4 linked regions of the Struthio camelus genome follow. The protein of the gene in region 1 interacts with the protein of each later gene in a pairwise test. Links are inferred from orthologs where the notes say so. Each region holds a gene or a part of one and is shown in the gene's direction. Other genes may lie near its edges. The genes, in order: APPL1, FSHR, ADIPOR1 and UBE2O.

Region 1 (7,494 bases):
GACACTTAATCTCCCCAAAGCTAACCATTAACTAGATCAAATATTTACAATCTATTTTTGGACTTTCTGAGCTTGTGGAAGATGCAGAAAACCTTCAGTAAGGTATTCTGATTTTAACTCCCACTTGGGAACACTCAGCAACTTGCAGGCTTCCCCCTTCCCCCCCCCCCCCCCAAGGGAAAAGAGATTGTGATAGCTCTCAGAAAGAATCTTCACAAAATAGGCCAAAACCCAGATATCTAAGTTTGTTAGACACATGTTGGAAACTAATCAAATAGTGCCATCTGGTGTTTATACTTGCCCAGCCATTAAGTTTGTTCAACAATGAATATTCAGACAGTTGAATAAGAAACTGTGCTACTACTAAAATAATCATATGATATTAATTTGCTCAGTGCTGAATTGATTCACACCCAGGAACAACAATGCAGTAACATATCAACATTCTGTTTTTAAACTGAGTTCTTGGCAGCAACTTATTATAGGAACTGGAAGCACCAATTAATAAGTTCACAAAGTGGACGTGCACATCACACTTTCTAATTTCTGCGGAATTCAGTGAAATTGAAACATCATATTTCTAAGAGACTTTTATAATGTTCATGCAGCTCCACATATCTTGTGGAGACTTCACAAACTGTTAAGAGAAATTATTCTAAAGATAACAAGTCTACTTCATTCCAAAACTATATACATGTAGAAATATATCTACCAGGAAGTCTGGCTGAAGACCAAACTTCCAAAGTTTGCGATACTTCTTTGGAGAGAAGCTTGCTTAGTTATATATAAAATATTTGTCACTAATGCAAAAATAGTCAAACCTTTCTATAAAAAAGTGAAAACAAAAATGTATTTTCATGGGGCAGAAAGGTTACAGTGTTTTAGATCTAAGAAGAACTGACAGTAAAGAAGTAGATTCAGTTTCTAGGAATTTCTACTAAAAGTAGAAATACAGCTTGAGCTTCCATTCAAAAATGACATCCCCTTTTATTGCTCATTTCTAATGGGCCAAGATTTCACTTGCAAGTCATGAATTTATCTAAAGAATTTTAAACAAATAGCTTTGAGTAAATAAATACCACAGCAATACAACAAACATTAGGTTGAAAATCCTGAGTAATCAACAGTCGAAAAAAATCACTGCTCCTTGGATGTACAGATCTGCTCATTTTACAGCACCACATGATTGGTGAGGTAGCTAACTCTAATCTTCCTTTCTGGTTTGGCCCCACTCACAGTTTTTTGCTGAGGGACAGCAGAGTCCATCTGTTGAGTGGCTGGAGCTCTTGTACTTTAGAGAAGTGAAGCCTCTAAGGACTCTATTTATAAATAGAATAGTCAGCTGAAGTGACCACATGAAGAGTTCTTGGTGGCTTCCATCTAAAACCCCACTGGTCACTGTTGCTACCTATTAGCATTGTCACCTATTGCTACTCCACTGCCAAGTCACCTTTCACAATAGCCTGTCCAGTATCTTTGGCTTTTTAGAAATAGGCTAAATGGTGTATATACATCTTTCTTGATCACTTATCACACGAAAAAAAAAATTGCCTTTCATCTCACCTTTCCCACAGCTCCTTCACCCAAGTGCAGCAGTATCTCACTGCCACAGACATTCCACACAGAGCTCCCCTCCTGATACATTTTGAATGTGAATGTTATAGTCAAATGTTATAGTTATATAACATTATAGTCAATGAATGGTATAGTAAAAGCCAGCTTCAAAATTTAGAGGTTTTTTCGTTTGTTTTTTTAAAAGGTAAGAATGCCTCAAAACTGCTAATGTTTCTCATAAATAAATAAAAGCAGTTAGCTATTTCTTGGCTGAGTTAAAAGCTATTTTGACCCAGGAAGATTAAATGAACACAAATAAATTCAAGGTAAGTCCAAGGGTGGCACCAGCAAAAGTTTGAGAAAGCGCATGTAGATGCAGATAAGACTTACCTGATTATCCAGACAGCGACTTTCACCCTCCAGCAGAGGCAAAACGTTCACTCTGTTAGCGGACCCATCTGAGGCCCTCTAAAGAGCCGTTGACTGCTCTTCTCCCTGTTTATACAGGGTCAAGCGTCAGTTACCCGCACTCTTACCGTTTCCTAGCAGTCATTGATACAAAGAAGAAAAAAAGAATCACAGAGACTAACAAATATATATATATATCTATCTCATTGAAAAAGACTGATTAGTGCGTTTAGAGGAATTCATTATCATCCAAACTTGTCTGCTGCTGTCAAACTTGCATCCCAAATAACACCTTCTGATGCCTTCTAACATTTGTAAAAAAGTATATGTAGCACAACAAGACCAGTAAGACATTACAGAATGTTTTATGTAACAGATTTACTTAAAAACCCTGACTAATAATTAAAAGAAGCTGCATTATATTACAGAATTATGAAAAAGATCCCTACTTGCTATTAAAGCCAGTGGCAAATGGACCACTAATTTCAACAGAAACAAGACACGTTTTTATGCTACGTGCCAGCTGAGATACCAAGACACATTTCTACATACTAAAGACATGTTGTCAGTGTTTTTTTTAATGAAACATTTAGTTCTCTGATTTAAGTGCTGTTCTTCTCAACTCACAGCAGCTAAACAAACACATTTTTCTTCTGTCACTTAAAGCTGTAAAAATATAAAGGTAACAAAGAACAACTCTTTTTAAAGTTACTTGCTACCATCTTAGCATTTCCTGCTAAGGAAATGAATCTTATATATTATGTAAAATAGAGAGCATTTCTTACAGAAGACAGCTGTAAAAATTGGTCACAAGTTAACTGATCTCAAAACCAGAAAGTTATGCATATATATATCTCATGAGAAAATACTAGTGTGCCATACAATAGTTATGGATCCAATCATAGCTCAGCAAGTAATATTTTAATGCAGAAGACCAAACAAGAAGATGAAAGACTTAATCTTTAAAACACCTTGTAAGATAACTCTATTATTGCTCTCATGTGACAGGGAAAGAGTATTGACAGTGAAACAGTGTGACTTGCCTCAGGCCACATGAGTCACTAGCTGAGCTGGTAAATGAACTGACTGAACTGAGCTGTAACACAGAATTCCTCACCGCTCCCTAAAAAAAAAGAAATTCTCAAAAAGCTGTATTTGTTTACAATTTAATACCAGCTTTTTTCTTCATTTGCTTTTAAAAGCAAAATGTAATCTTATACAAACATAAAATAAGGTCTTCATAATAAGACTGTACAATAGTTAATCATTTGCTCCACCGGCTAATTTAGCCTACTTTCTAATCTGGTTGTGTATTAAAAATATAAACTGCTTAACCTGCAAGAATAATTTAAAATACAGTAACTAGGATCAAAATGTCCTGGTCTCAGAGCTGTAGAAAGGGCAATTTAAGAACATGCTATTTTTAAAACAGTGCACAATGACCTGGTTCAATTCTAATAAGCCCTCAGAGCAGCCTCAGCCACTTAGAATTGGCCACCAATCTGTAGCAGCAAGTTCAGCCAGCCAAAGAAACCAGAAAGCCCATTAGGACTGATTACACCCTCCTGAAGGGGAAAGACCACACTCTGCTCTATAAAGAGTATTTTTTCCATTCAAGACCCATTCAGGAACAGCAAGTCCTCAGCTGAAACCGTGACTTTGTAACAAAAAATACAAAGTATTTATGGATAGAAAGAAATCCCTTCCTGCTAGAAGTCCTGAATGATGATGGAAGGAGACAAGAGACAGATAAAAGGGGACTTCTCAAAAGGGGTGTTCCTGGTGCTCAGGAGAGTGCTTCTACCACAACAGGGCCACAATAGCATTATTCCCACTGCACTTCTGCCCCCAAAATGATCTCTTTTTTTTCGGGGGTGGGGTAGGGGGTAAGACAATAACAGAGTAAAAAAAGACAAAATCCCACTAGTTACAGTGAGGCTAGAAGAACATACTGAATTAACGCACAACGCCTGTAACTCCAAACTCAGAAGAAAAAAAAAAAAAAAAACAGCGTTTTCCCAGCAACTTTGCCTGACAACCATCTCCGTCAGGCCCGCAGAGCTCGACGCCTCAGCGTGGAAACAGCCCTGCGTCAGTGCTTCTGACTCACCTCCCCGGACTCGGGGCAGCCCACACGCACCGGCTGACAGGGCGCCCTCCCGAGGAGCGAGAACAGCTCTTCCCCCTCGCCCACTTATACTGACGGGGGAAGGAGGGGATGCTAACGAGGGGGGGGGGGAGGGGGAGGGGAGCAGCTTACGGCAGGGGCGCGGCGAGCACTGACGCCCAGAGCCGCGGCGCGACCGTTTAACGGCCCGCGCGCGCCCCTCCCCCGCCCCGCAGCGAAAGGGCGGGATGAGGGAACAGACCCTCGCGCCCACGCACGGGCGCGGCGCGGCCCGACGTGCCTCACACCGCCCACGTGCCCCCCCAACACCTACAGACAAACTGACGCAGCCGCGAACCAATAAGGAGTTGGACAGGCTGAGGCGAAGGAACCAATAGGAAGAACAGAACCGGAAGGGGGGGCGGGCGGAGAAGAGCAGGCGGGACATCCGGCGCGAGGCGGCGGCGCCCGTGTTGTGAGTGGAGGGAGGGGGGAGGGGCCCAGTCAGCTGGGTGCGCTGTGGGGTGCGGGAGCTGCAGCGGCGCAGAGTCCACCCCGGCGGCCGCCATGCCCGGCATCGACAAGCTCCCCATCGAGGAGACGCTGGAAGACAGCCCCCAGGTGAGAGGGGCCGCGACGCAGCTGGCTGGGCGGAGGTTAGGCCGGGCCTCGCGCGGGGGCACTGGGTCCTGCGCCACCCCCTTCCCCCTCCCCTTCCCCCGCTCCCTCAGGGGCTCGGGGAGACGTTGGCGGCCGTTGGGAGAGAGAAGCCCGACCTGGGAGCGGCGCAGCGACGCTGCTTGCGGGGCCGGTTGCCTTCCTGTTCTCCTCGCCTCTGGTGCGGGAGGGCTTCGGCCGTGGGCTGGTCGGCCTGGGGCCGGGAGTCACGGCTCCTGGGCTGTCAACTCCGGCAGTGCCCCGGCGAGGTGTCGCTGCGGCGCCTTCTTCCCGCTTGCATCACCGCATCGCCTCAGGTGTCCTGCGGGTTCATTAGCTGCTTACAAAGTAGCGAGCTTAATGACGATTTTCTAGAGATACTGTGCTGCATATGCAAGTGCTTTTGCCTCGGGCGTCACTGTGGTAGCTTGTCCCTCCCTTCCCCCAGCGCCAGATTTACATTCATGATTTATTTTGGAAACCTCGTGTTGAGAAAACCTTCTTTACTGGATCCTTTACTTCTCAAGAGGAGTTTTGTTATGTGTGTATAGTTTACTGAAAAGACAAAAGGTTTACTAGATAAATATGAAATGCAGTTGCTGAATGATATCGTGATGCTTGTGAGAAGATGGGAAATGCATGGTGCTGAGAGACCTTTAATTGCTGTTTTCTTCACTTCCATTTCTGCTGCTTGAACTTTGTCAGTGATGCCATATATTACGTTACTATTTTTTACTATTATTAAGCAGGAAATGCTTTATTCTGTTGTACTGGTTTCTGTTGTTGGCAGCAACAAGTACTTTGCGCACTCTTCCTAGGCATGAATGAAAGTTAGTTTATAATATAGTTTCTCATATGTCAACGGTTAGAATTAGCATCATTGTTTTGCTGCGTTGTCTATGTAGATGAGCAAGATTTCTTATATTGTAATAGCATGTTCATTGATACTTTTGATTCCTCAGCTGTAGAAGAGGAATCTACAGAATGGCAGAAGAGAAACTGCCATTTGCTTAATATGAAATATTTACCCCTAGAATGACAACCATTTTAGCAAATCCACATCAAGTGGAGGGACTGCTTAGAAAAGACAACAGAAGATCATGTCGCGAATGCATCATTGCATTCGAACAGAGTGTGCCCCGTGTAACTCTAATGCCAGATGTCATACTGAGTTTCAGATGAGAGCTAACCTGTAGTATAGTCTCTGGCCCATCTGACTGAAATAAGGAAAAAAATCTGAATGCACTATAGTAATACTAATTTAAGAGAATTACCCATTGAAGATCTGTTCTCAGTGTATGGAAATCGGAACTGTTTTTACTTATAGGAAACGTTTTGAATACTGAATTTGTCTTACACATGACAAGTAGGATGAAGCGTTTTCTTCAAGCCCTTTAGACTGGGACATCGTTAGGGAAGCATATGAGAGAAGGTTACTTATTGGAACATGATTGTAAATTCTTTTATTGCCTGTCTAGAATCTTTTCATTTGAGGTTATCTGTGATAAAAACTGATTAGCAAAGCCTAACTCAGCCCAGTGCTTACTTGTTGATGTGCAAGATTTGCTTATATCTTCTCCTGTTTTAAGAACAAAATTTTACATCTTTCAGCCAACCTAATATTTCAGGTGAATTCTGACTGATCACCTATTAGAAAACCATGGCGGCTTAGTTGCTTTGTTTCATTACATCAGTTCATTTCTGTTACTTTGAAATCAGCATGGTTAAAGACACTTTAGTTTTGTTTTACTTAATCACTGTCAGGTTTTACTCTTCTGCTTCTGGTAGTGGATAGTGTCTGATGCCATAAATGGCAACAAGTGATCCTTGAGGAAAGAGGAAACCCTGTTCCCTTCAGGAGTTTTCATGATGCTCTGATTATGATGAAGTGTTCATAATGTTTTGCTGTAATATTGAAGGAGATCATCAACCTAGACAATTGTTTTGTGGTGAATTGTGGACTGGAATTGTGCACTTTTAGACATGTTTGAGACTGTGATTTTATTTTAAATAAATATCAAATCAAACTTGTTCTGCATTTGAAGGAAAGAAGTGTTTTTCTAAAATGGCAATGCCATTTACTTTGTCTTGATGCAAGATAAAAATCTAACCGCTCTGGCTTTGGACATAAACCAAATGCCAAGTTTACATTGTTTTTGCTAAGCGAAGGACTTTGATTCAAATATCAATTAACTTAGTGCATATATTACACACATGTTCTCTGTCTCTGTATGTGTGTGTATATATATGTATATATATAGAAGTATTTAGAGAGAGTTTCTGCTCAGACTTGATTCCATTTGCAAACCACTACACAATGAAAGAGCTAAGAGACACGACAGCACAGGCTCTGCCTCACGTCACTTGCAGTACAATATGTATGATGGTATCGAATGCTTAACGATTCACTGGCTTCTCACTAGATCATTTCTTTGTGTAGCTTATCTCCGGTAGCTTCTAGTGTACCTGCTCTCATATATGACATGAAAGAGTCTCAAATAATATACACAATTTCTCAAGTTTTTGCTAGAAACAAGAGTAAACAATTCCTCTGACTTTTAAGCTAAGCAAAGGTCTGTCATTACTTGTTTCCAATTTCAGATTATTTTTCTTTCCATCAATATGACATAGGGTCAGTCTGAAGTCTGAGAATCAATAGCTGATTATTTTACGATAAAACATAGAAAGTACTTTCTTCTGCAGTGTTCTGTTTTAAAAAGTAAAGATCATCCAGAAACCTAGCATGATATTCCTTTCAAATTGCAAGT
Region 2 (7,067 bases), on another chromosome or scaffold:
TAAAGGTAACGTTACAGTGGCATTCAGTAGTAGTTCAGTAGTTATTAAAAGAATATATACTTATTACCCCTAATGTTTTGTTTAAGAGCAGAGAAACACAAGTAGAAATTGCTGGCTTGTAGGTTTATTTACTCCAATAGCTGGTAAACTTTATGCCTTACAAAAACAGTAGCATTTAGATCTAAACATCAGAGCTGTGGAAGAAGGCATGACCGTGTCAGTACACTGCTTTAGAGGGAGTATGTGTTTGCTCAGTATATTTAGAAGAGGTTTGGTGAGAGCTGGGGCGGTTCGTTTTGCTTCCTTTTGTAGCCTCGGCAACCCAGATGGCAGCGTGGCCTAGGGCAGACACCTCTTCTTCATCCAAGGATGCGATCCGGAAAAGGCCCCGGTTCTTCTAGTTCAGTACTTGCAAAATTAGGCCAATGCTAATATCAGTGGTCAGTCCTATCAACTAGAGTCATTTATTGTTGTCTTAAAAGGGAGCCCTCAGTGACCATATAACCTTGAATTCACTGTCTACCCCAGAAGACATCTAATTACATAAACTCAACAATGATATCGTAGATTATCTGTCATAATTCACTTCATTGCATGTCTGCTGCTACAGTGGTTCAGTTTGGGGAAATTTCCGCTTTCTTGTTCAGGAAAACAGTATACATTCTTAAAACTGATTTACCAGCTGAAGCACACATCTTCTACAAAGGGAAGCAAAGACAAGGAAGGCTCTTAAAAATATCTGAAAACACCATCATTTCTGAATTTATACTTTCATCAGTATGTACGTCAGTGACAGTGTATCCCCACCTGCCATCGGCACAAGAGAGGTTCTTACTCCCAGCCTGTAATCCCATGAAGGCAGCAAGGTGAGTGCTTGGGGCCTGTCAGCAGAGGCAGGAGTTTGCCCCCTGTGTTGCTGTGAACAAGCTATTGAGGAAGAGGTAAGAAACCACCGGGTATTCAGGTGGCAGAAAGGCTCAGGGCATCTTTCTGTCTCACTCTAAGCAGCTCTCACAGACCCCTGCACCAGGCCCTTGGAGTCTTCAGGCGCAGTGGTAGTTGCAGCAGCAGCCCTATGCTCAGGAAGGGTCTGTGAACTTCACCTCCCCCAAAGTGACTGGCGGGAACCTTGGGATTTTCTCCCTCCTTTCCAGGTTTTTTTTTGTCCTGAGAGGAGACAGGTGTGTGTTCCTGAACGGGTAGCACAGCCATCAAGAGAGGATCATCAGCTGATTAATTCATTCGTGGGAATGTTATGATGCAGCTGTATGTCGTTTGACAGCAGTGAACTGAAATTAGGAGAGAGATTTCCAATTCAAAAAATTGATGGACAGCGCAGAGTCTGTTCTTCAGGATTAGAAATTATATGTATAGAATGACTCAGAAATCCTTGAAAATCTCTGTTTATCCTCAGGTAATATTAGTGGGGTTCCAAATTAGTGCTTTCTCTAATACTGATGTCAGTTCCATTTTGCTTGCTAGTCTGATTTTGTTGAATTTAATGATAACTGGATGTTTTCCTCAAAGTCCTATCTCTATGCTATTCTAAGAGAGTCTTGTTTTTAGTTATTTAAAATTAGCATCTCACTCTCAACTTGTTGCAAATGACTGTGGAGCAATGTGTATAGTACTGATAAAAATGCCTTCCAAAACCAAAACCAGAAAGAGCCATCCTCCTTCCAGTTTTTCTTCGTGAGTCTCATGATTTGCATCTGAGCCAGAGATGATGTTTTAGAATGTCTGTGTTTTAGGAGTTATGTTAAAGAAAGCACATCTGGTACAGTGTTGAAAGTCATTAATGATTGGAAAGATCTCTTGTATCTCTAGTTATTTTTTTAATTTCCTGACTTTTCACATATAAAACGGTAACTGTCACCTGAAACAAATTACATAGTTTGATATATGAAACCCAAAGCTAATCAAATCGCTGTGTTTTCATGTTGGTACCATTTATTTTGATATTCATAGAATGTAATTACTTTTTTCTTAATTTTGCCATAAATATGACTATCTATTTCATCAATGTAACATGGCCACTTATATTGATATATTTCAGAATGAAGGAAAATGCCTTACATTCTTTCCTAACCAAGTGTTCTTGTGTCCCACATATTCCTCAAGCTTCATACTTTTTCAGACTACTTTCAGTCTACAGCTGGAGAAACTAGAGCCTTGCTATTACAACTGCAAGAACAAAAAATTTATACGTATGAGTTATCTTCCTGGCATTTGTGTAAATCCTAAAAGTGTCTCGTTAGTCCAACTTGCAGCGGCCTACGGGAATTTTTTACACCAAAATTAAGTGGAAATTTATTTCATCATAGGACTTAGTTCTGCAGTTTTCATTTCCCTCAGCATGAATGAAAGTAAAGATTGTATTCATTTCAGTAGAGCTTGTAGGTCTAAGATCTTTAATAGTTTTAGGCAAAGAATGACAAACAGTCACTAATATTTTAGATTTTTTTTTTTTTTTGCAGCCGTTTTTATTACCCTGACACTTATTCAGAGCCCTTAGCAAAACAGACTGTATTTTACATATATAGGTAAATTAATCCTCTTACAATTCATTACAAGTCTACCACCGTTGGGAAGAAACTGTCATGATCTCTTACCCTTTTCTGTGAAAATGTCACTGTTCTGATCTTCAGGAGGTTTAATTTGAGTGAGGAAAAGTAATAAAAATTTGGTGATACTTTATAGAATTAGGGTAACTATTAGGATAACTTAAAGAATGGGTTAAATTAGTTTTAAAAATCATAATCATCTTCAGAATCATCTACAGTTTGGAGCTTATTTCCATTGTGAGAATGGTGAAATGTTTTGACCAGAAAATTTCAGAGAAAAAAGAAACAATCTTGTGTTTCATTAGGTTTGCTTATGCTTTTTGATTATTGGGGTGGGGGGGGAACCTCACTGCTGCTTCTAACAAAAGTAAAATCATTCTGAGCAATCTGGAGGATTGAATGTGAGTCCATTTCAACAGAATTACCCATGGAAATCCAGCTTAACTGGATTTAACATGCACGTAGCTTCAAAGCGCTGCGTGTCTGAGAAAGCCATTTACAGATGGGAATGTAAACGACACAGTTGAAAAAAAGAGAAAACTGTGTACCTCAAAATTCCAGTTTCAAGTGTCTTACGGACAAACCCTGGTTCCTGATGATAAAGTGGTAGAATGACTCAGTGAAAGGAAACAGCAAGGTCCCTTCCTCAAGGATTAGTATTTGTAACAAGAAAGATAATTTAGCTCAGTCAAAAAATAAATAGATAAGCACTCAAAGACAGCATTCAGTTTCCAGGCCTTATGATGCTGTTTTTGAAGTTTTCTCCTCCTGTTGTGTCACAAATAGCCACTTCTTTAACTCTTCAGGATTTTTTTCCAGATGATCAAATAAGCTTACGGTTCTCAAGGGACCATTTGGATCATGGCTTTTTCTCCTGCTTGGGTTTCTTTAAGGATGCTGTGGAAGAAAAGAGTCAGCTAGGGCATGTAGATCAAACACAGTTGAAAATAAAGGGGTGTCATTTAGCTTTGGCTTTAGGACTGCGTAGCTTTTAACCTATAAAATAGGTTATATAGCCTATAAAATGCAAAAATAACACATTTCTTTTGCCTAGGAGCAACCTACCAGCAGGGACTCTAGGATCAAGGAAGGGGAAACATAAAATCCTTTCTCCCTCTCCAGGGAAAAAAGAGCCCAGGCTGCAGAAGGAGAAAATGCTTTGTTGGCCCTTGGTCTTAACCAAACAACGCATGCAAAGTAGCATAGCTGAAAAGAAAGACCCTTTTTTTTCAGTGCAGATATGCAGTGGTGTCAAAAGTCCTACGGCTAGCTCAGTTAGGCCATGATTTCACTACTTAAAATATAAAATAAGTTTGGCTTGGAAACTCAGCGTTGCTTCTCTTCGTCCTCACTCTAAGACCCTAAAGGATCACAGGCCATGAACTGAAACTTGCATAGAAGTCATCCCCTAGGAATCACATGATCCATCTCAGCTTTTAGGGCGGATCTTCAATTAAGGGAGTCACTCTTAGTTGCACAGGGAACTTGCTGCAGTCCCTTCTTCTAGATGGAGGAGAAGGGAACAGATGTAGAAACAGACATGTCTCTTATTTTTGCCTATTTACTGGTTTTCCTGGCTGGCTGCTCTGGTTGTCAGCATCACACGTGTCACTGCTCTGGCAGGATATTCATTTGTCAGGAGAGCAAGGTGATCCAGATTCCACGGGACATTCCCAAGAACTCCACTGAACTGTAAGTAGGGAAAGGGAACGGTTGCAAGCAGCAGCTTTGTTGTTGTTGTTTTAAATAAACTGCTCTCTGGCAAGCCAAGAATCAGTTTTGTAGGGAATCACTCAAGAGTCTTGTACCGGCTGTTTGAAAAGCGCAGCAGTTCCTCTGACATTCTTTAAATTACAACTTGAAATGTCTCTCTGTTACTGTTATGTTCATTTTAAGATCTCTGTTAAGAAAAGATACGGTATTTTATAATGCAACGTATAGAGGAAACTTTAAACAAGCCTCCTCGGCACTGTAACAGTAATTTGAAGCATAAAGTGTAAGCTTTCTTTACAGCTCGCTTTAGCATTATTGAAATGTGTGGTACAACTTGTCTGCCCCAAACAACTTGATGAGCGTTCCTGTTTGCACTGCAGGAACTTCGCAAAGGTTTGTATTTATTTGCCAAGAAGAAATTTCTTGTTCTCATTTGAAACTGTGAAGACATTTAAAAAAAAAAAAAAACTAATAAGGATTCAGAGTGTGACTCTCCTGTATCAAAGAAGTAGTATGACTGCATTTGGTGAGAAGGAACAATGTAAAGATACAGTACTGTATTACTCAAGAAGGAGTTTTGTCTATCTTAAGGCTTCTCTTTGTTTTCCATAAACATGACATAACATGAAAAATGCTGCATGGCAACTGTTTTCTGTGTCAGTAACACAGGCTAGCAAGAGAATTCACAGAATGGCAAATATTTTAGCAGTCCAAGTGATTGTTTTACTCTCTAATTTTTTTTTTATAGCAAGTTATATCACCTCATATAACACCGATTACATACACCCACAGCCATCTAACATCATTAAGACCTAAAGCAAAATGAAGGCAGCAGTCCTGGATAAACTCTGTTATTAATAACTGGAGCAGCAAGTTTGGAGAGAGGGTATGAGGAGGAATGGTATGTCACTAGCCTGATCTTACAGACCATAATATTATCAGTGCTATGCTATGCTACAGTTTTTCTAGTGGAGAAGTTTCCTTTAATTGAGAAGGAGTAGTCATTATGTTCAGTGAATAAGTAGGTTAAAGTAGACTGTGGTGAAAACTTGAGAAAAATATCTGAATTAACTGCAGAAGGTCAGTAAAAGTTTAAATCAATCTCACAACTAGAGGAAAAAATAATCCATTTGTGATTTAGGTCATCTAAATCCTGAGTGAACCATACTCCAGGTATTTTGTTTAATTTTGCTTTGATTGTTTCTTTAGATTACACAGTTAAGGTCTGCCTTCTTGGGATTAAGCAAAATCATTCTACAATTATTTCTGAAAAGAAATAGAGTTTTATATCACTAAAAGGAACCTGTTAGTAAGTGGAATTTGTTTGCAGTGGATACTTGTTAACTTTTCAAGAGTTTGTTGAGGTTGCTAGTATCTCAGAATGACTCTATGTTCCCTGAAACAGCTGAGTAGGACATTAGTGTGACTGAAAAAAAGAAAAAAGGATTCACTTCTTGAAGTGTTTTATAAATATTAGCGTCAGAATCTCTTCAGCTGATTCTCTTCTCATTTGCACCAACTTTTGGTTCCTCAGGAGATAATTCTCATCCCATTAAATCAGTGATAGTCCTGGGATTGATTTCATCCTGGTTAAAGAATTTGTCCATAAAAACTCCGTGAAGTTACTTCTGATATATCAAGTATTAATGTGAATAAGCTTGATACATTAGCTGAAGAGTTAAGTGACGGATAAGCCTTAGGTTTTCATTCAAGGTTAAAAGAGGGGCTATAAAAAGGTGCCTTCCTACAGTCACATCTGTATGCTGAAGGCCCAGTGGGTTGATTCAGCTGGCTAAGATAAGGTTTACTGCTCCAGCTGCTGTGGCAACACACTGTTGGTAACAGAGAATAAAAAACCTCAAGGAGTCACAGGGCCTGTAAAACCCGTGCAACAGCTTGAGCATAGATGGCCACAGTGTCCAACAGTCTTGCATAGGACACAAGCACAGACATGTTTCTACTATAAGTACAGCTCCTGCACAGTGAATTCTTTCATTTAGGAAAGAATTCTGGGAAGATGCTGGATGCTGTGGTCTATTTACCTTTGACATAAGGGGCAGGAGTCCTCTTCAGTAGGCTCTTCACCTTCTCTTTGTGGCCTTGATAGCTTTCCTACTAATGTCATTTAGATGTTGAATGATACACAGGCGAAAGCTTTGGAGTGAGAACAGGAGCCTGATAAGCCTTAGGTGTGTTTGAAGAGGGAGCACTTCCCTATTTCTGTGTTTTTCTGCCTCACCATGGCTGTTTCAGTGAATACAATGGTACGTGGCAACCAGCTGGGTCACTTACTGAGAAAAGTCAGGATGAAGGTAAAAATATGGCCATCTCAGACCAATCAACTGTTATCTCTGTTCTTTGCCATGGACTTTTTTTTTTTTTTTTCCTTTAGGTCTGTGGCCTTGGCATGTGCTGCCAGGATCTTTTTTGTAACCAGTTTGTTGAGGGTGAGCGCTCACACTCAGCAGTGAGCGTGAGCTTTGCCGCATGGTATAAGAGTTGCGATTTTTGCTTCTAGTTGGCTTGGCACCTGCTTTAGCATGTGTGTCAGAGCAGGAAGGGTTGGCAGTCTCACTTTCTGAGCGACTCCTGTTTGTACTTAACATATTGTAACAGAGCAGGGACCAGAAACAATGGGTTTTCGTTCCTTTTCTCATTGCCATGTCTGCTGCTCAGCTTGCCCGCCAAAATCTTGGGAGGAACGTTATGCTTCAGTTTGTATGTTGCTACTTGCAGATCTGAGAATACTGTGCGGTTGGCATGCGCCAAGTGTTTTCAGGAGAAGACTGT
Region 3 (7,950 bases), on another chromosome or scaffold:
ACCATTGCAGTTTCTAGTTTGCTGTCCCTGCATCAAAGCAAGCTGAAAGCAGATGCTAAGCAGAAGATGCATTTAAACTACTTTGTAGTGTTAAACTCTGGAAATTCTCTAGTAAGTCCGCAGGCTTGTCTGTGAGGAAGTTAGCCTGTGTCCTGTAGATGCAGGACTCCAGGCTTCTGCCTGCCTGAGGAGGTAACTACAGTGCTAAACTAAAGAGCCGTGTTCTGATGTGCAAGAGAATGGAGTGTCCTGGCCTGTTGCCGTTTCCAAAGCACTTGGCTTGTCTCTGCTGCACCCGCAGCGGTCGTGGCGTCCTGCTCCTAGCGTCCTGCTCAGTCGAAATTGTAATAAAGGCAAAAGGCAAAGAACATGGCAAAGATCTGAAGAAAAAGGAGGGGCGGGGCGGGGGGGAACAGGTTATCTCCCTGTTGCAGGGCAAGAGCAGCCTGCAAACACTCCAGCCCCTTGAGACAGCCGCCAGCTGGAATCTGACAGCATGAGGACTACAGGACCCAGCTGTGCATCTGTTCTGGCTCTAATCAAGGCAGGGGGTGATGGCTGTGCCCCTCGCAGGACCACGCACCAGCTGCCCTTTTGCTGCACAGTAAAAGCTGTGGCTCAGGGGGCACCTCTGAGCTCTTGTGAGCTCTGCAGAGAGCCTGCTGAGCAGCAACCCCCTGCCCCGGGCCTGTGCTGCAGGAGCAAAATAAACCTTCCCCCCCTCCCTCAGTCCTGGAGCCATCCCTCCATTTATCCAGCTCTTTCCCAGCAAGCAGGAGAGTTGGGCAAGAGCTTTATACCCCACAGACAGCCTCACTGTAGGTGCACCCACTTCATGGCTGTGGTGCTGGGAATTAGAGGCTTGGGTGGGTCCTGCCTGAGCAGATCTGCGGTCCCTCTGCAGGCATAGAGCGTTGTCCCTTACCCTCCTGGCAGAGAGCCCATGTGGGGTGACCTGCTCCCCACCCTGTCCTGGGTTATAACCAGTACCGTTCCCATCAGCCCCATCCCTCGCTCAGTACCTCGATGCCCAGCACGGCCAAGCTGCAAGCCCCAGGGACAGAGGTGTACTTCAGCAAGGTCCTGCCGATGGTGGAGAAGCAGCCCTAGGGTGGAGGAGGATGATTTAGGGACTCCATGGCACTTCTCGCCTGCTGCAGAGCTTTAGAGAGTCACCAAGGGGGCTGGGGGAGATCAGGATATGTGGGAGAGCACCACGGTGGGACAGGATGAGCCAGAGATTTGGGGAGCTGTTGGGCTGCAGACCCACAGCACAGGTAATGCACCGGGCTCCTGCTCAGGGGCAGAGGACAGTGGTGTCCCATCAGCACGTGTCAGGGAAGCGCTGGGGAGGCCAGGGACATGGCAGGGCAGGGCGGGTGCCCATGTGGCTCTACCTGCTCATGAATGTAGCCAGGGCTCCTCTCCCGGCACTGCTCCCAGCCCAGCAGCTCGCCTGCCTGCAGGAGCCCGTCCCGGGTGCAGCATGCCTGCGGCCAGGGCATCCCCGGGTGCAGCTCCAGGAACCGGGATCCATTCCCAAAGTCCTCAGGCCCTAAAACGCCACAACACGAGAACTGAAATGGAAGGGAAATGCCATCAACATGCTGTCGACACACAATGGGCCTTCACTCAGGGAGGTGACGGAGGGAGGGCATCCTGGGAGGGGGAAAAGCCAAGCGGGAGCTCGGTGTCTGTCTGGGGTCCATGAGCCTGGTCCCCACATTCAGGGTGCCCCTGAGCTGAGGGCTGGTGGGCCTCAGCAGGGCCCATGGGTGCCTCACATCCCTGGGCAGCCTGGTGGGTGCCCCCCGGCCGCTCACCGTAATCATGAGGGTGTTCCAGGCCGTGGAGAAGACCTTGGTGTCCTCATCCCCACAGTAGTTCCTCCGCAGCTCGGACAGGAAGAGCTCTGGACGGATCTGCAGAATTAGTGCTGTCTGCGGGTGCCATGGGACCAGCGCCAGAGACGGGGGCCACAGGGGGCCGCGCACCTGCCCTCACCCACCCCTGACCAGCGCTGCACCAGGCAGGGAGTCACCTCTCCAAGGGGACACAGGGATCCATCCCCTCCATAAGGCTGGGCCAGCCAGGCTCAGGCTTGCATCAGGGTGCTAGTGATGAAGTTGAGGGCGAGGCAGGACATCCCTGCACTGGTCCCAGTCCCTGGCCAGTTCCTGGCGGGCTCAGGACCATGCCCCATGGCCTAATGCAGGGAGGAATGGGGCTGGCCATGCCGGGCACCACAGCAGGGTAAGGGCATGGTACCTGTTTCCAGTGCACCAGGAAGAGGACAGCCCCCACAAGCTGCGTGACGAAGACGAGGCTCACGAGGATGAAGAACTGGAAGGCAGCAAGACGGAGGGGTCAGAAACCAGCCCGACCCCAAGGACGGCTCGCTCCGGCTGTTCCTCTCCGCCTCTGCAGCCATCCTTGCCTGTGTGCCTCCCCGGTGCCTTTGAGACCAGCAAAGGGAGCAGGGACCAGTGTGCAGTTTGTGGGGACAGATGCATGTCTCAGCACCACAGCTGCAAGGCTAAGCTTTAAAAACGAGCGCCAGCTGCCAGAGTCAGGGGACACCAAAGAAATTGTGGCGCCTCCCTCAGAAAGGGGTTTCTAGCCCTCACCATCAAGGTGAAAAGCTCGGACACTGCATGGGGCAAGCCAGCAGCTTCAGAGAGAAATGAACCCAACGAGTGGCTTTATAAAATCCCCTGGGTTTTAAATTCCAAGTCTCACAAGGTGGGGGCTGGATTGGAGTACGATGGGGCCAGGCTGGGGGTCACCAGGCTCCTGGCTCATGTGGGGCTGCCCTGAGTCCTGCGACTTCCTGCATCCTACAACACCCCGTATCCCCTGGATCCCTGCATCCCGTAACACCCTACATCCAGCGGCACCCTGCCCGCCTGGCTCCCTGCACCCCGCCGTTCCCTTCCCAAGCAACTCCCCTCACTCACCACCAGCAGCAGCAGCCGGCTCTGGCGAAGGGCCCCGAAGCAGCCCAGGAAGCCCAGAAGCGAGAGGGCGATGCCCACGGCCAGCAGAAGGTAGGCGCCTGCACTCAGCACGGCCTTGGTGGCCACGATGTCCTGGAAACCAGCCGGGTCCACAGCCACCCAGACCCCCACACCTGACAGGCACGTCCCCCCAGCCTGCAGGACACGCCACGGTCACGGGGAGCAGGGACCAGCCCCAGCTACCCCACAGGGGACTGGGGATGCTCTAACATCTCCTGGGGTCACCTCCCTTGGACTGGCGCCACCCATCCCTGAGCCTGACAGACACCAGAGTGTCGTGCACCGGCTCCCCTCAGGTGGGATCAGCCATCTCTGGCTCCAGGCACGGCACGGTGCCAGCTCCCCTCCACCCATCCCACCGGGCCCCGGTGGACTCACAAACACCAGCACGTTGAAGATGAACATCAGGTACTTTATGCAGCTCAAAATACCCATGGGGACACTGAGGGGATGAGACGGTCACAACTCTGCAGACAGACGGCAGCACGGCGGTGGTGTTCGTCCCTGAAGAGGAGAGAGCAGAGCCCTGGCCCGCAGCCGGTCCCAGCACCTATCCTGCATCCCAGGTCCAGTGGGATGTGGGACCTCCCCTGCCACCATGGAGGGGAGGGATGGGGACAGGCACTGGGAAAGGACTGGGAGGAATCTGTCTCCTTGCAAACCTCCTCCACGCTTCCCAGCTCTGCCCTGGCACACACCAGATCTCCTTTTCCAGCCCCGGCTCCTTACATGGGGGAGCGATAACCAGGGTGCCGTGGGGTCAGCAGCGGCCCCGTGCGTGGAAAGGTGCTGCACCCTTCCTGAGTGCCCCAATGGAGCCAGTGCCTCGTGTGGGTGCTGAGAGCCCCCAAATCCACACTTAAGATTTCCAGGAGCAGAGAGGGCTGAGCCACAGCATCCCCACAAAGGGACTGAGCCCTGCGGGCCCCCTGGCTTCCCCAGGGACGAAGCACAGCCCCACAGAAACCCACATGCCCAGAGCATCTCGCCAGCCCCACAGCACAGTCCGTCTGCCTGCCCTCACCCCGCTGCTCCCCAAAACGGTTCGAACCCTACATCATCACTCACCCGAGAAGGGCAGCGGGTGGCCCGGATGCCTCTGACCTGCTCTGGGGCTGCCTGCGACTATTCAACACTAGAAAGGTTGGAAAAACTTCCGCCACCCCCCCCCCGCTCCTGGGGGTGCAGCCCCCCGAGAAACCCCTTCCAACGGCGGGGCCATGAATGATTGATGGGGGAACAGGATTCGCCATTGTGCGAGGAGGTGGATGTAGGGCAGCAGGAGAGCCCGGCCCCGGGCTGTCGTTAGCAGAGGTAATTAAATCTGGCCCTTGGCGAGCGTGGAAAGACGAGCCGGTTGCAGCGGGCCGAGGGCGACCTGTGCCATGAATTATTGCTGGGGACATTTGCTCGGTGCGTTGGCCCGGCCGCTCCTCGGGGAAAGCCTCGTGAGTCTGCAGCGGGCGCCGCTGGTGCCGCCAGGCCGGAGCCTGCGAGCGGGCCCAGGCCTGGCCGGACGGCTCCATCCCGAGGCCGCGTTGCCATGGCAACAGGGCCCGTTGCCCCCCCCTAACGCAGGCCCCACGGCAGCACTAGGCCCGGGTGTCTGTCCCCTCGCTCCCCGGTCACGCCGCCGGGTGGGGGCCCCCCCTGCACCCTCCCGGGCCCCCGCCGGCCCCGCCGCCATCACGGGACTCCCGGAGGTGGCGCCCCCTCTCCCACCCCAGGGCGCCCGCAGGGGGGCGGCCGCCGCGCGCGAGGCCAGCGAGCCCCCCCCCCCCCCCCCCCGGGCTAGAGCGCCTCCCCGCGGCGCGGCCCTCCCCCGCGGCTGGCCCAATCACCGCGGCCGGCGGGGCGGGGAGAGAGAGGGAGAGACGGCGGCGTTGGCCAATCAGAATACGCGAGCGCGTAGCCCCCGCCCCCGAGGGGGGTCCTCCTCCGCGGGGCGGGGCGGAAGCGCCCCGTTCGCTCCGCGTCGCTTCCGGTGCCGCCGCCGCCGCCCCTGCGCGGGATGTAGCGGCCGGTGAGTGCGCGCCCGGCGTGGGGGGGGGGGAGGCTCCGCCGCTCCCGCCCCCCCCCCCCCACCGGGACTTTGAGCGGGGTGTCCGGGCCTCCCGCTGCCCCGCGGCGGCGGCCCCGGGCCAAGCGCGGGTCCCGGCCCGGCCCGGCGGGGAGGTCGGTGCCGCTGCCGGGAGCGCCGGGGCGGTACGGGTCGGGGTCGGGGTGCCGGTCCCCGCCGGTCGCGGGGGGAGCCGCGCGGAGGGCCCGTGCCCGGTAACGGGGCGGGGGGGGGGGGGCTGCCGGGGCCGGTGGCGGTGACTCTGCTCTTCCTCCCTTGGCAGCGCGGCGGCCCACGGACGCGGAGGGGACCTGCACCGGCAGCCGCGGCGTCGCCCCAGCCCTCGGCCACCAGGACCTTCCCGTCGCCGCCGCCCCCCTCCCCGGTCCATGGCGTCCCGCAAAGCCGCCGCCGCCGCCGGGCAGGGCAACGGGCTGGCGGCCGCCGGCCGGGAGCGAGCCCACCTGGAGCTGGCCGAGCTGGGGCCGCTCCTGGAGGAGAAGGGGGACCAGGGAGCCGCCAGCTCGGCCAGCGTAAGCCCTGAGGCCCCCCCCCCCCAACCTCCGCTCATCCCTCCCGCTCCGCCGGCGTTTCGCCCCGTCGATCAGCCCGAAGCTGGCGGGCGGCCTTAGCGGGACGTGCTCCGGAGTTGCGGCCCGATCCGTTCCTGCTTGCTCAGGCTCTTCCACGCTGTCCTGCAGGATTAACCTAGAAACGTGCCCCTTATCCCATTAGCAGCTTGAAGGATGCAAGCTGGAAACGTAGTGTACTTTTCAAAGCCCTGAATCTAGTAGTTGCTTTTGAGTCAGTGCAAAGAGGGTGTGAGGTGCTTCGTTACCCAAAGGCTGACAAGTTGTCCGTGCTGTGCTCAAAGCTGTCCAAGAACCTGTCCCGAAAACTTCTCTTATTTTACAGGCATTGACTTTGTGCAGAGATGTCAGCCAAGATGTGCTGTCCTTGTATGCCAGCACAGCTGCTTGGAGTGAACGGGGTGCTCTTAGTCATTCAGCTGCTTTCTGGCCCTTAGGGCTAGAAATCACCTTCCCAAACCTGCTAATGGAAAAAGAGGAGAGAGGAAATTGAGGCCCGGACAGGTAGATTGTACCCAGCACTTGTGGGAGAGCAGTGGGAAGGCTGTTTGCCCAGAGAGACAGTCGGATTTTCTGGGCCGTTCAGCCTGGCTGGACCCAAGTGGCTGTTTCAGCCTGCAGGCTTGGTTGTAAGGATAAAAATCCTCCCCTGTAATCCTGCCTTTAAACAAGAATAAATCTGGGATTAGCCTGCCTGAGATGGTTAAGAGAGTAACATGTTGCATAAGCAGTGGTGAGCAGTGGGCCCTGTCTGTGCCCTCAGGGCAGGATGAAGCCCCCAGGTGCTCTTAGAAAAGACTCGCCGTTCTCTGGTGCTCTTGTTTCTCTGGGGAGCCGGAATGATTTCCTCCCGGTGTTTCTCCCTCTAGGCTGAAGACCCGCCATGCCCAGCGACCCGTGAGGAAGAGGAGGAGGTGGTCCGTGTGCTGACTCTGCCTCTGCAGGCTCACCACGCAATGGAGAAGATGGAAGAGTTCGTGTATAAGGTACAGGAGTTTGTAGTGATCCCCCGGCCCTGATTTTGGAGAATGAGAGAAGCCCAAAGGCCCCGGAGTGGGGTTTGGACCGCGTCGCTCTGCCTGGCCCCGGGTGAGGAGAGCGCTGCGCAGCCGGGCGGCTCTGCCTGCAGTCTGCTCTGGCTCTGCTCGCCACCTGGGCCTGGTCCCAGCAGTGTCTCCGGGGAGCGATGTGGGAAGTGGATGACAGCAGCTGGGAAGCGCCAGCGTTCCCAGTCGGCAGCTGGAGGTTGTGTCTAGCCCCCTCGGATTAGCGGTAACCTCAGGAGCGGTTTGGAGAGCGCCGGTGCCTCTGTGGGCATCCAGGCAGGGATGGGGAGCATGAAGCACTGCTGCCAGTTTGCCTGGTGCCTCCGCTCTGCCCCAGGCAGAGCAGTGCCTGCACTCAGCCACCACTTTTGGGTGAGCAGTGACACAGGTGCCTTGGGTGAGGCCGAGACCCAGGGCACTTCTGTCACTAGAGATCCCCTTTCCCTGACCAAACTCAAAGGGAACTCCCTGCTGCAGAGAACAGAGAGATTGCTGATGGTGTTGATGGGTTAAATGCAAGGGTGTGGATCATCTTGAACTCCCCGGGGGTGGGGGGAAATGTGGCGAGTGCTCTGCAGGATGTGGGTGGTTTAAGGGGTCCCATAGGGTGTCTGATGTTGCAAAAGTTGAACTTCCTCTTCCAAGGGAGAGTTACAGGGACCTTTTCAGCCTTGGCCGTAGGGAAGAGTCTTGGTGGTTTTGTTCCATGTGTGACTTTGAGCTGCCTGGGGCGAGTAAACCAGGGCCTCTGGGTTGGCTTGATGCTTTGGCAAGTGCCAGCCCCAGTGGTCACCAGCATGGGTTGGTGTGTTGCAGGTGTGGGAAGGGCGCTGGCGTGTGATCCCCTACGACGTGCTGCCCGACTGGCTGAAGGATAACGATTACCTCCTGCATGGACACAGACCTCCGATGCCGTCCTTTCGAGCCTGCTTCAAGAGCATCTTCCGAATACACACCGAGACGGGCAACATCTGGACGCACTTGCTAGGTGCCTGAGGCGGGGCTTGAGCTGAGGACTCGGAGGACCCTTTCCCGCAGGCTTTAGGGGCTGGCTAGGGCGAGACCAGGCTGCGCTGTGGCCGTTCTACCAGTGCTGCTTGGTGGATCTGCCAGCACAGGTCAGATGAGCTGTTTCTACTCTAGGGAAGGAAAAATGTACGTTAGGTGTAACAGATACTTCATAACGCTTTCCTCTGAAACTCAGGAACGGGCTAGCAGCCCTTAAAATAACCCTGAGC
Region 4 (7,112 bases), on another chromosome or scaffold:
CTCCTTGTATGCATAAAGATCTGTGTCGTCCTCTTTCTCCCAAAACGCACGGCAGCCAGCAGGCCTGCTCCCTCGGGCCCCTTTGCAGCCCTGCAGCAGAGGAGCTGCAGCCCACGAGATGGCACCAGAGCCTTTCCTCAGCTGAGGTGACCGGGCGCCTTGCTGCAGCCCTGGCACCCCCGGGCACCCTGAAGGTACCCCTGGGTGCCAGGCAGCCCTTCGGCCCGCAAAGCCCTCGCAAAGATGCCCCGTGAGAGATGCATCTCACTGCACCCAGCACCAGCCAGGTCCTGAGGAGGAAGGGCAGGGCTTGCTTTTCACAAACCTCTCTGTGTGGAAGCAGGTAAGCCAGGGATGTTACCCAGGCAGTTTATTCGCAAGGAAGATACTGTGCTGCAAAGAGAGTAAGTGACAGCAATTCCTAAAATAGTCCAACACCAGCAACTGTCCGTAAAGGAGGAGTCTGCTTGACATGTGTCACTTGCGCAAGTGCTGGGTGTTCAGACCACCTGCTGAGTCGAGTTGGTTCTCCAAAAAAAAATCACACACACAAAACTGCAGGATGCTTCTTGGTGTTGCCTTAGTATTTTGCAGAGTGGTCTGACTTGCTGGGGTCCCTCAGCGGAGATGTGGGATCCAGCCCCAGAGAGCTAGTACTGCCTAGCTTCTTGACGGGGAGATGCTCACTAGCCAAGGACTGTCACGCCTGAAGCATCTCAGTGGTGTTAGCAGCCCAGGCCAGGGGCTGCTGGCTCCCAAGGAAAAGACGAGCCTTTCTTCAGTGCCACTTCCGAACAAGAGCACATCAGAGCCCTGTTTGAGCTCAGAGTGCAAAAACACACCCAGCTCGACTCCTGTTAGCAGCCAGCTAGCCCTGCCTTGGCCCCATTAAACCCCCCACGCTGTGAGCCTGGCTGGTTGTATAAGGTGATTGCTTGTATGGCTATTTGTGGCTACCTGAAATCCCGCTGCTGCTCTGCAGCGTGTAATTGCTCTGAAGAGGGACAGTTTCCATCTACACACAAGTTTACGCCCATTAACTATATCTATATTTTATAAGCAGCTGTTACTGTGTACATTAAGGAGATGATAAGAAACATCACCACGCTGGATACACATTGTGCTTTAGGCCTTTCGTGGAATGATGAGAAGGACATAACGCCAATTCAAATGGAAGAAGAGGGCATCTTGTACCCCTCCAAAGGGCCTGATCCTGTTCCCACAGAGAAAGGCCACAATTGTCCCTGACTTCCCAGGGAGGGAGGCTGGCACCAGGCCCACAGCACCTAGCGTGGGGGTGTGCCAGGGCTGTCTATACAGGCCTTGGGAGATGTGCCGCACACCCTTCCCCAGCGCAGCTGTGACTGAGTGACACAGGAGGGTGAAATGGTGCTGGCGGCACAGGCGCGTTTGACAGTGCTGAGCACTGATTTTACACCCCTCGTCTCGTTCACCTCACAGTGGTCCCTGCCCTCTCTTGCTTGTGGATGGGGATCTGCATTCCCACAAGCCCATCCTGCCCATATCGACAGCTGTATAACCACGTTACGTCGAACAGATATTTAAACTGTCTTTCTCCATATTTTTCCACCTGGACAACATTCTCTTTTAGCTCTGTTCTATTCCTTATCCTTGGGGTCAAGGCCGAGAAATGCTCCCCTAGGGAACTACACCAGCAAAACACCCCTCTGTTTAAAATGATGCAGGCTGTTAAATCCTGATGTGGGGGTCATGCTGACCTAGGACCCAGAGGGAGGAAGACACTGCGAGCTGTTGCAACGCTTGCAGCTCCCTGCTCTGGAGACAGGTCAGGAATAGTTTGCCCTCTGCCATCAATGAGAGCATCCCAAAGGCGGCCCGAAAGCGTGCCCTGCACCCACCGCTGCAGGAGGACATCTCAGGAGCTGGGCAGAGCGGAAACGTGATCCTGCTCCTAGTACCTCTCCCTCGTGGGAGATGCCCGCTGCAGCGAGGGCTCCGTGCACAGCCAGGCTCCGGATTCGCACAGCTAGTGGGTGCTGTTTCCTGGCAGAGAAGGACTAGAAACCCAATGGAAAAATCCAGGAACTGCTTTAAAAATAAAAGCTGTGTTTCCGGTCCCTTTCCTGAAAGAAGAAACCCTGGAAGGAGAAACTACAGCCAGCTGGTGGATAGAGCCAGGCCAGCCCTGGGCTCGGGTTTGTGGGAGTGAAAGGAGGAGATTACTGCTATGCTGCTCTTGTTTTCTTTTGGTAATAAAATGAGTCAGGCTGAGGATTTCAAGCATTTTCCTGATATTCCAGCCAGCGCTGCACAGACGGGGAGATCTATGGAGTGAAGTGACAAGATATCTTTGAGTAAAGGACAGGCAAATAAGGCTATTTGGGATGCGCTTCGCCCTTCCCCTGCCCGGGTAGCGAGGCCCTCTCAAGAAATTATTTTTATTTCAAAAATCCCTGCCGATAAAAGGGAAAATATCCACAAGAGTCAACGAAGCCAAACATTGGGCTCCTTCGCACACCGTAACGAGGATTTCTAGGAGTCATAAAAAGCCAAGCCGTGCTTTCCTGCCAGCTGGAGAGCACCTCAGCACCCGGAGGAGCGCATGACAAGGGGCAGCGCCCCGAGCAGCCCAGCCAGGCCGGGCTCCTGCCTCTTCCCGCCCCGTCTCCGAGTTTGCCTTCAAATGCCTGTCATATATTTTTTAATTTTTTTATTTTTTCCCCTCACGCGGAAGGTGGCCAGACCTCGATGGTGGCTGCTGGTGCGGGACCTGGCAGGAGGCTGGCCCGTGCCTCGTGCGCCCCCACGCTCCCTTGGCCGCGCTAGATCCAGAAGCTCTCCCGGACTGGTAGCACCAGTCTAGGCTGGAAGGGAGGAGATGGCGGGTGGGATTCATATCACTCGGACCCTGAGGTGGCGTCCTGGGGGTGTCGCGCGGCCCCGGGCGCGGGGGCTACCGAAACGCGGGGCGGTTCCCGCTGTGACTCGGCCGCAGCCCCTAATTCCCTGGGAACAACCCCGCCGGGAGGCCGTGGTGGCGGCGGGAGCCGGCGGAGCACGGGGGCTTCGGGCCGGGAGGAGGAGACGGGCCCGGCTGCGCAGGGTCGCTGCCGCCCCGGGGGGCGCCGCGGCGGGAGGCTGCTCCCCCTTGGTGCCTTCAGCCGTCTCCCCGGAGTCCTCCTCTCTGCCCCCTGGGCTTCCTCCCCCGCCCCGGCTCCTCCTCCCCTCTCTCCCTCACCCCTTCTCCTGCCTCCATCCTCGGGCCCTCCCCATCCCTCTTCCCTCAATCCCTCTCTCTTCCCTCCTCCCTCTCTCCCTTTCCTCATCCCTGGCTCTCCTCTGCCCTCCTTCCTTCCTCCTCTCAGCCCTCTCTCCGCAGTCCTCTCCTTCCTCCCCTCCTTCCTCCACCCCTCTCCCCTCAGCCCACTCCTCCCTCCATCCCTCTCCCCTCACCCCTCCCTCCCCTCAGGCCCCTCTCCTCAGCCCTCTCCTCCCTCCATCCCTCCCTCTCACCCCTCCCTCCCCTCAGGCCCCTCTCCTCAGCCCTCTCCTCCCTCCATCCCTCCCTCCCCTCAGGCCCCTCTCCTCAGCCCTCTCCTCCCTCCATCCCTCCCTCTCACCCCTCCTTCCCCTCAGGCCCCTCTCCTCAGCCCTCTCCTCCCTCCATCCCTCCCTCTCACCCCTCCTTCCCCTCAGGCCCTTCTCCTCAGCCCTCCCCTCCCTCCATCCCTCTCCCCTCAGCCCTCCCTCCCCTCAGCCCCCTCCTCCCTCCATCCCTCTCCTCTCAGCCCTCCCTCCCCTCAGACCCCTCCTTCCTCCACCCCTCTCCCCTCAGCCCTCCCTCCCCTCAGCCCACTCCTCCCTCCACCCCTCTCCCCTCAGCCCTCCCTCCCCTCAGGCCCCTCCCCTCAGCCCTCCCTCTCCCCCCCCCGCGCAGGCCCGGCGCCGCGGTGGGCGGGGCCTGGCGGTGGGCGGGGCGACGCGGTCGGGCCCCGCCCCCGGGCCGTTACATGCGCGGGGCCCGCGCGCCGCCCGCCCCGCCCCCCGCCCTCCCCTCCCCTCCCCCAGCCTGCGCCGGCGGCCGCGCGCTCTCCCCGCTCTGCCCGGCGCCATGGCGGACCAGCCCGCTGAGGCGGCCCCGGCCCCCGCCGCCCCGGCCCCGGCTCCCGCCGCGCTGCCCCTGCCCGCGCCGGCCCCGCCGGGCGGCTCGCAGCGCCTCCTCTTCTCGCACGACCTGGTGTCGGGCCGCTACCGCGGCTCGGTGCGGTTCGGCCTGGTGCGCCTCATCCACGGCGAGGACTCCGACTCGGAGGAGGAGGAGGGCGGCCGCGGCACCGGCGGCGGCGCCGCCAGCTCGGGCGGCTCCGAGTCGGGCGGCCCCGGGGCCGGCGGCGCCGAGGAAGGCCGCGCCAGCCCGCTGCGGCGGGGCTACGTGCGGGTGCAGTGGTACCCGGAGGGCATCAAGCAGCACGTCAAGGAGACCAAGGTAACGGCTCGCCCCGGCCCCGGCCCCTGCTCGGGCGGGCGGCGGCGGCGGCGCGCCCTGTCCCCCCCCCCCCCCCCCGCCGCCTTTGCGGCCTCCCCGCCGGTTCTCGCCGGTTCGGCGCGCGGTCGCGGGGCCTTGTCCGTCCCACGCGGCCCGCGCCGGAGGCCTCGTGGGGCAGGGGCCTGCGCGGCTCTGCCCGGCCGCGGAGCCGGCCTGCGGCTCCTTCTCGTGGTTATCCCTCCGCTCTCGCCTGCCAGAAGTGCCGCCGCTGGCTGCGTGCTGCGTCTGAGCGCCGGAGGTGGACTGTGTCCTCCAGAGGCTGAAATCTGTTTCCCGTCTTTCGTCATGCTGGAGTGAATCCTCCTCGCCTCCTGCCTGGAGTGAACGCTGCTCCTGCGCTTCACCGGTGTCGAAACGTAGCCGTTTCTCCCAGGCACTGGATTTTAATGGCACTAGAGGAAGTGCAGTCGGGGATTTGAGCTAGTTCCTAGTAGAGGCAAGCTCTCCGACCCTCTCTTACTTGCTGGGAATGTGCTCCAGTGTCTCTTCGGTGGACAGCATCATGGTAGCCTGTTGTAGGGGAGCCAACAGCTAAACGGAGTAATCGTGACTAGCTGAAATCCCAGTGGTGGGCAACCGTGGTTTGGATTTGCCCTTGTTTACATGAACGTTTACCTCTCTTGATGAGGCCTAGGTAAATCTGTGACCTTTTAATTACATCCAGAGAGCCACAGGGTTCAGGGCACTTCTTAGGCCTGGGTTAGAACGTTGCCACTTCCCAAAGTTATTCTGGTGCCAGATTTTGCACAGAGTGACTGGCAGTACAGAGGAGACAAAAGAGAGAGAGGGGGCACTGTAATATAACACAAAGGGGCCTGCGAGGGATGGGCGTTGCACTGAACAAAACAGAAGGCCTGCGCTGTCCTTGCAGTAGAGCGAGTCAGAGCGCTGTTCTGGGGTGGCAACTAAAAGCAGGAGTCTCCTGGTATGCCATCTGCTCTGCTGTTTAGCATTCTGCTTGATTTTTGAAAGGAGGAAACGGAGAGAAAGGTGTGCTGTGCTCCTACCGAAATTGGTAGGATTGCCCACGCTACCAGAATGAGCTAAATTTAGGTGATAGTGTCACTAGGCATGTGACCAGTAAGGAGATGAGAAAAATGAAAGCAAGGTATCAAGAAAATATATTTCCACATTACGTATTTCTACATTAAGAAAAACCTTCTTTCCCTAGAGCCGCAATTCAATCACTGTAGCCTTCAAATAAAATCTTTGTGTGCTGTTACATCAACATATGTCCAAAGTTGAGTGTTTTCAGCCTCTAAATGAGGCCACTTCAACTTGAGTGATTAAACATGGACTTAGGAGTTGTTACTGGATTCCCAAATTCGGAAGTGTTAGCTCTGACTTTAGTCACTTGCTAACTGTACCCTGCGCAACATTAGAAAAAGCTAGACTGCAGAGGATCAGAAGTTAAAGGCAATTATGTAAATAAATGGTCCTCTTTCTTTCCTTTTCAAAGTCATATCCCTCTGATGTAGGCAGCTTTACCATTCAGGTAATAGCCCCTGGGGAAAAGTTCCCTAAGTGCCTAAGGAATTTAGGTGTACTCCCGTCATATTGATTTTTTTCCATTTAAAAAGCTGCCCGCTGACAAAATGGATAGGCATTGTGTACAATCTGCGCTGCAGTTTAGGGTTACTAAAAACAAATCTGACGCCACTGGAAAGGCGCTGCAGAACTTCTCATTTCATGGTTATAGCTGGGTTTTTTAGCTTTCCTCTAACCCAGCCCTTTCACGTTATACTAATGGGTGAACCAGCCAGGTAAGCTGACATGCTTGTTGTTGTCCGAGCTGGGAGGGGTACGAACCATAAGGACCACGTGGTTGTCCTGGGCCTAAAGTTTGTTAATTTTTAGAATGTTGTTGCCAACCATAATTATTTTGGCCAGGCCTCTAACTCTCCAGCATCTTTAGCTGTGGAATTCTATTTGATGTCTTTATTATGTTAACCTCACTGTCTTGGTCACAGTCAGCCCCTGGATTCAAGAGAGTACCTATTCCGTTTCTTTGAAGGTACCTTTCATTTCCCTGCGATCTTAATTCTGTAATGGTCAGAGGATAAAGGTAGCCCTGGGGTCAGGGCTCTTGCTAGCCTCATCTTGCACAATTGTATACCTGTTCTGTACGGTAATTTTTCTTTCCCATGTGAAACGCTTGTGTGCCTGTCTCTCTCATGTGGATCCTTCTTTGTCAAGCGCTTAAAGATCTATGAACCCTGGCAGGTTTATTGGTAAGAGCATGTGTTGTAACTGAGGAAGGGGAGAAACAAAGTTGTTGCAAATTTTGAGGACAGTGAAAGAGTACCTTCAGCTTCCAGTGCAAAGGTTAAATGCAGTTGTTTATAACCAGAAAAACTGGATTATAACCCTAGAGATTTCTTGTGTTTTGCTTGAACTTTGTGGGTTAAAACTTTTTTTTTTCCCTGCCAGGTACTATATAGGCTAATCCTTTTTACTGTTTTTCCTAGATGTTCTATGCTTACCTTTGTTCTTTCCTGTTGGAAATGGTAGGCAAACTGCCGCTTAAACCCCAGCACACAATTACTGATGTTAATAAGTAATAGAAACTTTCTCTTGAAATAGG

What was found.
Region 2: the proteins of APPL1 (region 1) and FSHR interact in a two-hybrid assay, tested with the Homo sapiens proteins (2 studies listed by BioGRID). The link is inferred for Struthio camelus from reciprocal best matches to the Homo sapiens genes APPL1 and FSHR.
Region 3: the proteins of APPL1 (region 1) and ADIPOR1 interact in binary tests that used the Homo sapiens proteins (3 or more experiments, as listed by UniProt). The link is inferred for Struthio camelus from reciprocal best matches to the Homo sapiens genes APPL1 and ADIPOR1.
Region 4: the proteins of APPL1 (region 1) and UBE2O interact in binary tests that used the Homo sapiens proteins (3 or more experiments, as listed by UniProt). The two-hybrid records come from large-scale screens. The link is inferred for Struthio camelus from reciprocal best matches to the Homo sapiens genes APPL1 and UBE2O.

What each region holds. Positions count from the first base shown.
Region 1 is NC_090955.1:15,492,752-15,500,245, reverse strand, and holds the start of APPL1 (DCC-interacting protein 13-alpha), read left to right. Parts: upstream 1-4,482; 5' UTR 4,483-4,636; coding exon 4,637-4,690; intron 4,691-4,845; exon of another isoform or gene 4,846-5,146; intron 5,147-7,494. UniProt on the Homo sapiens protein: Multifunctional adapter protein that binds to various membrane receptors, nuclear factors and signaling proteins to regulate many processes, such as cell proliferation, immune response, endosomal trafficking and cell metabolism.
Region 2 is NC_090944.1:122,575,988-122,583,054, forward strand, and holds the start of FSHR (follicle-stimulating hormone receptor), read left to right. Parts: upstream 1-4,048; 5' UTR 4,049-4,071; coding exon 4,072-4,256; intron 4,257-7,067. UniProt on the Homo sapiens protein: G protein-coupled receptor for follitropin, the follicle-stimulating hormone. Through cAMP production activates the downstream PI3K-AKT and ERK1/ERK2 signaling pathways.
Region 3 is NC_090965.1:3,954,632-3,962,581, forward strand, and holds the start of ADIPOR1 (adiponectin receptor protein 1), read left to right. Parts: upstream 1-4,943; 5' UTR 4,944-5,040; intron 5,041-5,359; 5' UTR 5,360-5,465; coding exon 5,466-5,609; intron 5,610-6,535; coding exon 6,536-6,652; intron 6,653-7,528; coding exon 7,529-7,700; intron 7,701-7,950. Other genes in the region: tetraspanin-18-like, read right to left, coding at 197-328, 1,023-1,106, 1,398-1,577, 1,824-1,922, 2,269-2,343, 2,958-3,152, 3,396-3,452. UniProt on the Homo sapiens protein: Receptor for ADIPOQ, an essential hormone secreted by adipocytes that regulates glucose and lipid metabolism. Required for normal glucose and fat homeostasis and for maintaining a normal body weight.
Region 4 is NC_090960.1:9,208,965-9,216,076, reverse strand, and holds the start of UBE2O ((E3-independent) E2 ubiquitin-conjugating enzyme), read left to right. Parts: upstream 1-4,093; coding exon 4,094-4,468; intron 4,469-7,112. UniProt on the Homo sapiens protein: E2/E3 hybrid ubiquitin-protein ligase that displays both E2 and E3 ligase activities and mediates monoubiquitination of target proteins. Negatively regulates TRAF6-mediated NF-kappa-B activation independently of its E2 activity.